Linked DNA regions of Rattus norvegicus. The protein of the gene in region 1 interacts with the protein of each later gene in a pairwise test. Links are inferred from orthologs where the notes say so. Each region holds a gene or a part of one and is shown on either strand. Other genes may lie near its edges.

The links.
Region 2: the proteins of Zfp410 (region 1) and Sertad1 interact in binary tests that used the Homo sapiens proteins (3 or more experiments, as listed by UniProt). The two-hybrid records come from large-scale screens. The link is inferred for Rattus norvegicus from reciprocal best matches to the Homo sapiens genes ZNF410 and SERTAD1.

What each region holds. Positions count from the first base shown.
Region 1 is NC_086024.1:109,697,955-109,702,417, reverse strand, and holds part of Zfp410 (zinc finger protein 410), read right to left. Parts: intron 2,757-4,463; 5' UTR 2,610-2,756; coding exon 2,577-2,609; intron 1,723-2,576; coding exon 1,587-1,722; intron 1-1,586. UniProt on the Homo sapiens protein: Transcription factor that binds to the sequence motif 5'-CATCCCATAATA-3', and is specifically required to silence expression of fetal hemoglobin in adult erythroid cells.
Region 2 is NC_086019.1:91,901,326-91,906,355, reverse strand, and holds the start of Sertad1 (SERTA domain-containing protein 1), read right to left. Parts: upstream 3,060-5,030; 5' UTR 2,948-3,059; intron 849-2,947; 5' UTR 846-848; coding exon 135-845; 3' UTR 1-134. UniProt on the Homo sapiens protein: Acts at E2F-responsive promoters as coregulator to integrate signals provided by PHD- and/or bromodomain-containing transcription factors. Stimulates E2F1/TFDP1 transcriptional activity.

The DNA.
Region 1 (4,463 bases):
CTGCGAGTTCAAGGCTAGCCTGGTCTACAGAGTGAGTTCCAGAACAGCCTGGACTACATAGAGACCCAGTCTCAAAAATCCAAAACGGAAGTGTTCCAAGTGTTAAAAAAGGGAAGAGCTAGGCCATATGTATGGCTCAATACAATTAGGAATTACACTACCATGATGACATATGACATATATAATATTTTCAGAGGCTTTCATTCATTTTATATATATTAAAGGAAGGTAACACTTTTTCCTCTTTTAGCAGATGGCAAGCACGATCCTAAGAATAAAAATGGGCAATAATGTAAATATTCCTAATATCACACAACTATACAGTAAATGCTAATTTAAGATGGTAATTCTACGCCATGTGTATTTTACCAAACACACACCAAAAACTATTTTAAGAACATAAACTTTATAATAGCTCTAGCTATCACAGCACAGTATCGGAGAATTCAGACATGAACAAAAAAGTTGTGGTATGTAAATATGGCAGGATACCATGCTGAGACTAAATGAAACATGGCCACAATAAGGATGAGTCTCACAGGGCTGGAGAGATGGCTCAGAAGTTAAGAGCCCTGACTGCTCTTCCTGAGGTCCTGAGTTCAAATCCCAGCAACCACATGGTGGCTCACAACCATATGCAATGGGATCTGATGCCCTCTTCTGGGGTGTCTGAAGACAGCTATAGTGTGTTTATATATAATAAAATAAAATAAATCTTTAAAAAAAAAGTGCTTTAAACTGCTAGGCCATTTCTCTAGCCCCAAATATTGTAGGTTTTTTTTTTTTATAAATCACGTCATGTATGAAATGATATATATATCATACTTAGAAGAGAAGTGATTAAGTTAGATAGAAAGGTCCAGATGCAATAGTTTATAATCTAATAAGCTGGTATTCAAGTATATCTCTAAAAAGGCGAAGGAAGGAAGGAAGGAAGGAAGGAAGGAAGGAAGGAAGAAAGAAAGGAGGACAGAAAGGAGGATCAAAGGTCTTTAAAAATATATAGGGCCAGTGGTAGCACACAGCCTTTAATTACAGCAGACACAAAGGCAGGTAGGTCACTGTGTGTTTAGGCCAGTCACAGATCATAGCCAGACCCTGTCTCAAAAACCAAAAAATGAACAGAACTACATAATCACTTCCTCAACTACACTAGCCTTTACACCACTCCCTCCATCCCTGCGGTCTGGCTCCCCAGCCTTTCTCTGCCATGTTTTCAGTCTCTGTGTCCTTGGCCTCCTGGGGGCCTCCAGCACTCTGATTGCCCTTGGCTCCCATGACTCCTGGCTATGCAGAGAGTCATCTACTTCAGACTTCTTCCCTCCTCCTCTGGCTCCCTTGCCTGAGCACATGCCTTCAAAGGGGAGTGCCACAGTGCTACAATGAACTTTCTGTCTCACTTTCACATCCGTGTTCCTACGCTTAAACTACTGAGGCTCTCATGACTTCCATGGCTGCCTTTTGATATGGCTCCTACATTTTAGTTTCTATCAACCAGCTGTAAAATCAATTGCATCCTACTCTTGGTACAGCATCGTCTAACCTCTCAAGTCTTCTTTGTCCCATCTGTAGGGAACATATTTTACCTGGTAACATTAGTCGACTGCATTCTGAGGCCTCGGTCACTGGAAGGAGGGATAAGCAAGTAATGTCTTTAGCTTCTGATTCTACTAGCCCTTGTCCCAGGGGGATGGAGGTATTCTGAACAAACTGAACCAGGAGCTGAGGAGGGGAAAACAGCAAAACTGAGAATCAGAATGAATCTCAACTTTAAATTTATCAAACAAGTGATAATATAATTAAGTCTTATTCCTGTCTCAGTCATATACATAGAAAAACTAGATTAACTACATTTATCAAGGTGTTTGCTCTACACAATAGTTGATTTATAAAATTAAACTGATCTGTCATTTTCTATCATAGAAAAATTATAAAAGTGGGTTTTAAAATGATGAGCCCCCTTGGTTTTAAGTCAACTGCACTGTACTGATTACATTAGAGAGCACTTTCCTGGGTATTTTTTCACTTATTCCTAAATTCCTAAGTAAACACGTATTTACAAATGACGAATCATCCTGAAACACAGACTTGTCTAAGATGATATAATTAAAGTTCCAGTCTTCAAAATTAAGAAATGATTTCAAATTTAGTGACTTTTCTAGTAAACACAAACTTATTAAGATTAAAGTATGAAAAATGATAGAAATTATAAAATGCTTAAATCATATTTAGAAAAATTATTTTCAGATACATATTAACAAGATTCGTGTAAATAAATATATACATACATAAATATTACAACTATGAATATAAATATACTTTAGAAATAGAACCTATCTTATCATGTTTAAGTACTTTAAGTATTTCCTTAAATACTTAAATAGCAGATATAGAAAACTCACGAAGATGGAAACTGAATAATAAAGTCTCTAAGAAAGCATTTAGTAACAGAAGACTCATAAACTAAGCACTGAAGTAAATCTCATTTGGCTTTGGAAGTCAAGAATGCTTACGATTAAGCCACTCACGTTGTTTCCTGACCAACGGTCTAAGAAGACACAGCTAAGTGGGCTCACCTCTGGTTTGGATTCTAACTCATCTGATAACATTGATTCAGCTTCTGAAATCCTGTAGCTGTTCGGGGGGACAGGGTCACATCTAATTCAGCCAATGACACCTTCCTGTTACATTCACATCCCTTTAAAAAACAGAACACTTCCTGTAAGACGCTGAACTAGGTTGGTAATCAATTTAACCTAAAATAAGGGTAAAAAAAGAGAAAGACACAACATTAAGAGCAGTCAGCAAATGCAGCTAAATCAACAAAGGCATCCCTTTATGTCCAAAAGCCATAAGCAGACACTCAGCCTATAACATGTGTTTTAAAGCAGAACAAGCCCAAAAAGTATCAAAACCTATAAAAAGCAATATGCTTTGATAACTATCTTCAATTTTTAAATCTTTATTTTTATTTCATGCACGTGTAACTAACTCCCTGTGTGTCCAAGTGTCCAGAGTCCAACAGAGGGAATCAGATTCTCCTGGAGCTCCATGGAGTTCCAGGTGGTTCTAAGCTGCCCTGTGTGGATGCTAAGGGCCAAACTCTGTTTCTCTGCAAGAACAGCAAGTGCTCCTAACCACTGAGCCTTATCTCCAGTCCACACAAAAGTTCCTCCTTCTAATGAAGCCCTGACTGCCTGAAATTCACATACAGACCAAGCTGGCCTCCACTGTCAATGATTTTCCCATCCCTTCCTGAGCACTGGGAGGGATTACAGATATACGTGGCTATGAAAGGGTCTTAAAATATGGAAAAGCTATATTCCCAAAGATGCTCATTGAAAATATAAGACAAAGAACTGGAAGCAACACACACAATAATCTTTTAGAACACTTAAACACATACGTACTATATAGGGCTTGACTCTTGACTATTAAATATGGCATTGTCACTTCGAAACACAGTTATGACTAGGGATGCGGTTTAGTGGTAGAACATTTGCCCAGCATGTGCAAATCCCTGGGTTTGATTCATAAGACACACACACACACACACACACACACACACACACACACACACGCACACACACACACTGAAGACCATGCAATAAAACATCGGTTACAAACCTATTTCCCATTTTAACAGTAATTACATCGTAAGAAAAAAGTAAAAAGAAATTCACAGATAAAACAGCAGTTTTATTGTTTAACAGGAAAGTGTGACTTACTCTTTTTTCTTATTCTAAAAGGTAATTATGCCATTCTGATCATTTAAAAGATAAGTCTAGCAGGGGCTTGGTGGTGCAAAGCTACAACCTCAGCACTCGGGGAGTGGGCTCTACAGCAAAGTCAAGGTCTGTCTGGGCTATTGTGATCTCAGAAAGACAAAAACAATCAAGTTTACAATAGTACTCAAGTCTAGCTGTGTAACTCAAGGCAAAGCACTTGCATAGCATAGCACAATGTTCGAGTGTAATCGCCAGTATTGAAGACAAACAAGCCAACACACGGGGTGGGGTGGGGTGGGGTGGGGTGGGGGCAATGGGACTGTTTGCACACAGATGCAATGGATTCATCTGCATTCTTCCTCCCTCCCACCCTTCCTTTTTCCCGGGTCCCTACTGGACACTGAACCTAAGGTCTGTCTATCCACGCTGAGCACAGACCTTGCTAGTTCCCTAACCCGAATCTCCTGGATAACTCCCTGCCTCCATGGACTTTGGCACATGAATTCACTTAATTTGGTGGAACTGCTGGTAAAATTGGGAGTCTGAGATCCATAAAGTGAAGACAGGAAAAAGGTGTGGTGGCAGGCATCTGCAAGCTCAGCAGTGGGAAGACTGAAGCAGAACAGGGAGGTTTGCAGCTAGCATGAACCACACTGCAAGATCATCTCTGGAAATAAAAAGGAAGCAATGTGTTCAGAGCACAGTGGCTCATCAAGTGTCCTCCGTAGACCTCAT
Region 2 (5,030 bases), on another chromosome or scaffold:
GGACTCAGCACTGTCTCTCCAAAGTGACCCTGGGTCTCCTCTGTGAGGGGAAGCCATCTGTGTCACGTCAAAGTGGATTGGTGTAACCACCAGGCTCAACTCAGATCCAAGTCAATCATCCCTGGGTCTAAGGGTCAGCGCCCAGGTCCTGGTGGCCGTTCCAGTGCCTGTGTGCCTACTAGTACATCCATGAGGTAGTCCAGCTCAGCCTCATCCAACTCTGGAGTTTCCTCCTTGGCTGGGCCATTCTCAGGGACAGGTTTGAGACCCTCAGAGGCTGGTAACCAAAGTTCACTGTCATACATGGAGGTATCAATGTCCTCAAACAAACCCTCCAGTCCATCGTCCAACAGACAGCCCGTGGCTGGGCCTAGCAAGTCCAAGGCACCCAGGTTGGGCAGGACACCCCCGACAGAGCGGCCTGGAGGCCCCTCGTCTGCTTGGGGTTGGGGGACCTGGTTCAGGTCCTCAATATGACTGAGATCTTCCAGGAGGCTGGCCATGGAGGCTGAGAGGCCGGCGTCTGAGCTAGACAGAAAGTTATCTGCCACAGAGGGGGCTGTGGGCTGAATGGGCTCAGGTGGCAGGACGGTCGTAGGCTCCATGGACGCCTGAATTCGTCTCAGTGTGTTCACCACAAGCACCAGGTGTCGGAGGTCTGGTTCGCTCTGCCGAAGGCTGTGGTGGAGCTTGACCACCGAGAGGTCAAAGAGAGAGCTAGAAGCCACGGTTGCTGGGGTCTGTGCCACTGCTGGGCGGCTTTGATCCAACCACCACGAGTCCACTGAGAGGGACTCCATTGTTTCTTCCTCCTCCCGCTTGCGCTTCAGACCTTTGCTCAGCATCCTCTGCAGGGAGGAAGGAGTCATTCGGTTATGGAAAGCCAATACGCAGCTCTCACAACTGCTGTCAGTGTGATCCTGACCAGTCAATTGACCTCCGAGGGCTAGGTTTCCTAAGCATATTTATTTCTAATGAGATAGGGTCTCATGGAACTCAGGCTGGCTTTGAACTTGCCAGGTAAGCCAACGTCTGCTTTTCCCTTCTCCATCTCTCCAGTGCTGGAATTAAAGGTGTGTGCCACCATCCTTGGTATATTTGATGCTAGGGATGGAACTCTGGGCTTCTTGCATGTAAAACAAACATTCTACCAACTGAGCTATATCCTCAGCCCCCTCGGTGAACTCCTAAGATACAGATAGCATCTATGCTAGAAGTTGCTAACACAGATTAGATTCAAAGAACAAAAACGTAGTCATTAGTACTTGAAATTTTACTTTTATTTTAAATTTTGTGTTTGTGTGTGTGCATGAAAGTGCAGATGCCCAAAGAGGTCAGCTGCCAGGAGTCCCTGGAACTGGTTTTAAAGTAATTGCAAGCCATCTGATGTGGGAACTGGGAACTGAACTCAGGTCCTTTGTAGGAATAGCAAGCTCTAAGCCCACATAATTAGTACTTATTTATAAGCACTTTTGGGTTTTATTCTTTTGAGACAGAGCCTCACAACTGTAGTCCAGGCTGGCCAGCCATTCCAGGCAATCCTCCTGTCTCCGTCTCACAAGGGTTAGGATAGTGTGTGTGCCACTCCTTGATTGCAAATGCAGTCATCAACACACAGAGTATCTGCTATATGCATGGGCCATTAAATAATCAAATGTACAGAAACTGGTAGGAAGATGCCATCTTGGAGGTAGTCAAGGCAGGTCTTTCTAAGAAAGATACATTGAAGATGAACCCTGATGTATGCTGTGTAGGCTATGGAGAACCTGGGCCAGGTTTTCCTGAGAGGGCCAAAGGAAGACTGAGAGAGGTAAACCTGAACTGGGAAGGAAAAAAAAAAAAAAAAAAAACAAACCACACACTAGGAGCAGGCGCAGAGTGACACAGTAGGAGTCCCGGTGGGGGTGGGGAGCAGGCAGAAGGAGGCGCGAGCAGGAGTAGGAGGAGGCTTGGATTTTCAGAGTGTCAGGACAGAGTCATGGAGGGTAGGGTCGAGGCAGGAAGATGAGTGGTGACATTAGTTGGCAATGTCTCTAGAGGATCCCGGGTAGCTGTTGCCTAGGGCAAGATTGGTGGTGGGGCAGCATCGGGTGTGTGTGTGTATGAAGGTTTGGGGATAGAAGTGGGCCCAAATTGCCTGCCTTCCGAGGCTGCAGCACTTGTTGGGGTGCTGACCGCTTGAATGTAAACCCTAAGATGTTAGCAATCATTCAAGGAAGCGGTGGATCCCGAACTTATTGAGGAAAAAGAACCGACAAGGGAAACCCTGAAGGGCCGCAGGAGTTAAGTCATTGACAGAAGTTTGAAAATCCGTACTTTCTTCCAAGGTGAGAGGTCTAGAGTTTGGAACCCCTAGCCCTATCTAACGGGGGCATAAAGACTGCAGGGTCTCAGTCCCGGGGACACTAGCCTAGATCTGGCAAGACAGTAAAAACCGAGTCTTTGCCCTTTTCGCTGAAGACCCGGGAGCCGGGAACCGCAGGAATTCAGCCCCCACCCCGACTCCGCCCCTCGAGTCCCGGCGCCCCCTAGCGGTACTCCGACCTGGGTCCCCCGGGACTCCGGCCCCTCTGACCCCGGGATCCTTTAGATTCTCCGGGGTCCTGCCTGTCTCTCCCGGGTATAGCAAGCCGCGACCCCCGCGGGTCGCTCAGCTAGCCCGGCCTCCCCTCGCTTCCGGAAGGCAGTGGAGGCGGCTCCTCCCGAAGCGGCGGCGGCGGGGGCGGATGAGTCACGCAGCCGGAGCCAGGGAGCCGGCGCCTCCGCCCCCTTCTCGGGCTCCGACGTGATTCACCCAGCCCGGCCGGGCCGGGCGACACATACAGGCCCTGGCCCTCGATCTCGAACAGCTCTGGCGAACATCTACCTAACTGAGGTATCGAACACGCTAAATATCCCGGTCGCCCGTACCCTCGTCTTTCCCTACCAGGCCCCTTCATTTACATACCCAGATCACTCCCGACCAATCAGAACGAAGAGGGAGCCACACGCAGCCAATCAGGAAGCGGCTGCCGTAGCATCGCTAGCTCGCTGGGCTCCAGCAACCGACACCTGGGACGGCAGGCGCAGTTCTGATTCGGGCGCACGACTCCAGACACTCGACAATCCCTAGTTCCCGCCCACTCGCGTGGCAGCCCCGCCCTCCAGCTCCGGGATCCGCTCTCGTTGGTGGTGGTGGGCGGAGCCTGATCGGGGACGTTCCAGAAGGAGGGGGGAGCCTGTCTCTAAAGCGCATGCCCAGGAGGACTGCCTGAGCGAAGGGACAAACTCTGGTAGCGATTTCCCTTGTGGGGCGGTGACAGGTAGGGGTTTGGGCCTTTTTAAAGTACAGGCCTGTCACTTCATGGTGATTTTAGAATACTGTATGACTTCTGGAAGAGGACCTGCCTCTTGAGAGTTACAAAATTAACAGTTTTCTCAGTAGGATTTACGATACCGGACTCAATCTACAGTGGGACAGCTGGATTCTGCTACTATTAAAGATGGGAGTAAGGTGGGGACGGAATGACACCAGGGTCACGTCCTGGGCATCAGTTCCGGAGTAGCTGTGTGACTTTGGGCAGCAGTTTAAGTCCCTGAAAATAATTTCCTGCGGGGCGTGGTTGTTCACACCCATAACACCAGCATGGAAAGACTTAAAGCAGGGGGATTGCTTTGAGTTTGAAGCCAGCCTGGACTTCAGAGTGAGATCCTGTCTTTAAAAAAGAAAGAAAGAAAACGACGAACTTTCGTTACTTTAGTTTTTGTGACAGTTTCACTAAGTTGCCCAAGTTAGCCTGGAAAACAGAACAGCCTCTCAAGTGACTGGAACCACAGGCTTATGCCACGCCTAATAGTCTTTTTGGTTGTTTGGTTGTTGGGTGGTTAGTTTGCTTTTAGTTTAGTTTTTGTGTATATGTATGTTTTTGTATGTTTTAGTTTGGGGTTTTCGTTTCGTGTGACAGGGTTTTTCTGGATAACAGCCATGGCTGTTCTGTAACTCGATCTATAGACCAGGCTGGCTTCTAACTCAGAGATTCACAAACCTCTGCCTCATGAGAACTGGGATTAAACGCCTGAGCTCCACAGTGGGCCTTCAGCTAGTCTTAAAACACGGCTGGAGAGGTACAGTTTAGTGAAAGAGTTCTCGCCTAACATCCCAGCATGTTAAGCACCGGAGCTCAATTGCAGCACTGAAAAAATAAAATGAAATAAAATGGCCGGATGATTTACTAAGGTTAGGATATCAGGGGCTGGAGAGGTGGCTCAGTGGCTAAGAGTGCACAGGACCTGGCTCAGTTCCTGGTTCAGGTTCAGTTCGGCACCCACATGGCGGCTCACAACTGCCTGTGACTATAGTTTTAGGAGATCCAACACCCTATGCTGGCTTTCTCAGGCACCTGATACACATAGTACATAAACAGACAAGCAAGCACAAACACAAACAGTAGAATGTTGGGCTGAGGAGATGGCACTCCTCAGCTGGGCTGTGGTTAAAGGCACTGGTGCTGCTGAGTGACAAGCTAAGGTCTGTCCCCAGGGCTCCATGAAGAAACCCTGTCTTGAAAAACAAACAAGCAAACAAACGAACAAACCAAGGAGCTAGTCTGTGAAGCTGGAGAGGTGAGTCATCTGTTAAGAGCACTGTCTGCTCTTCCAGAAGACATGGGTTTGATTCCCAGCACCCACACAGTAGTTCAACAACAATCTATATTCCAGTTCTAGGGAGTCAGATGCCATATTCTGGCTTTTGTGGGTACCAGGCACCTAGGAGGCAGAGGTAGGTGGAACTACAGGCAAGACTACAGCCTGGTCTCCAGAATGAACTGTAGGACAGCCAGGACTGCACAAAGAAACCCTGTCTTAAAAAACAAAAAATAGGGGCTGGAGAGATGGCTCAGCGGTTAAGAGCACTGACTGCTCTTCCAGAGGTCCTGAGTTCAATTCCCAGCAACCACATGATGGCTCACAACCATCTGTAAGGAGACCCGATGCCCTCTTCTGGTGTGTCTGAAGACAGCTACAGTGTACTTATATATAATAAATGAATA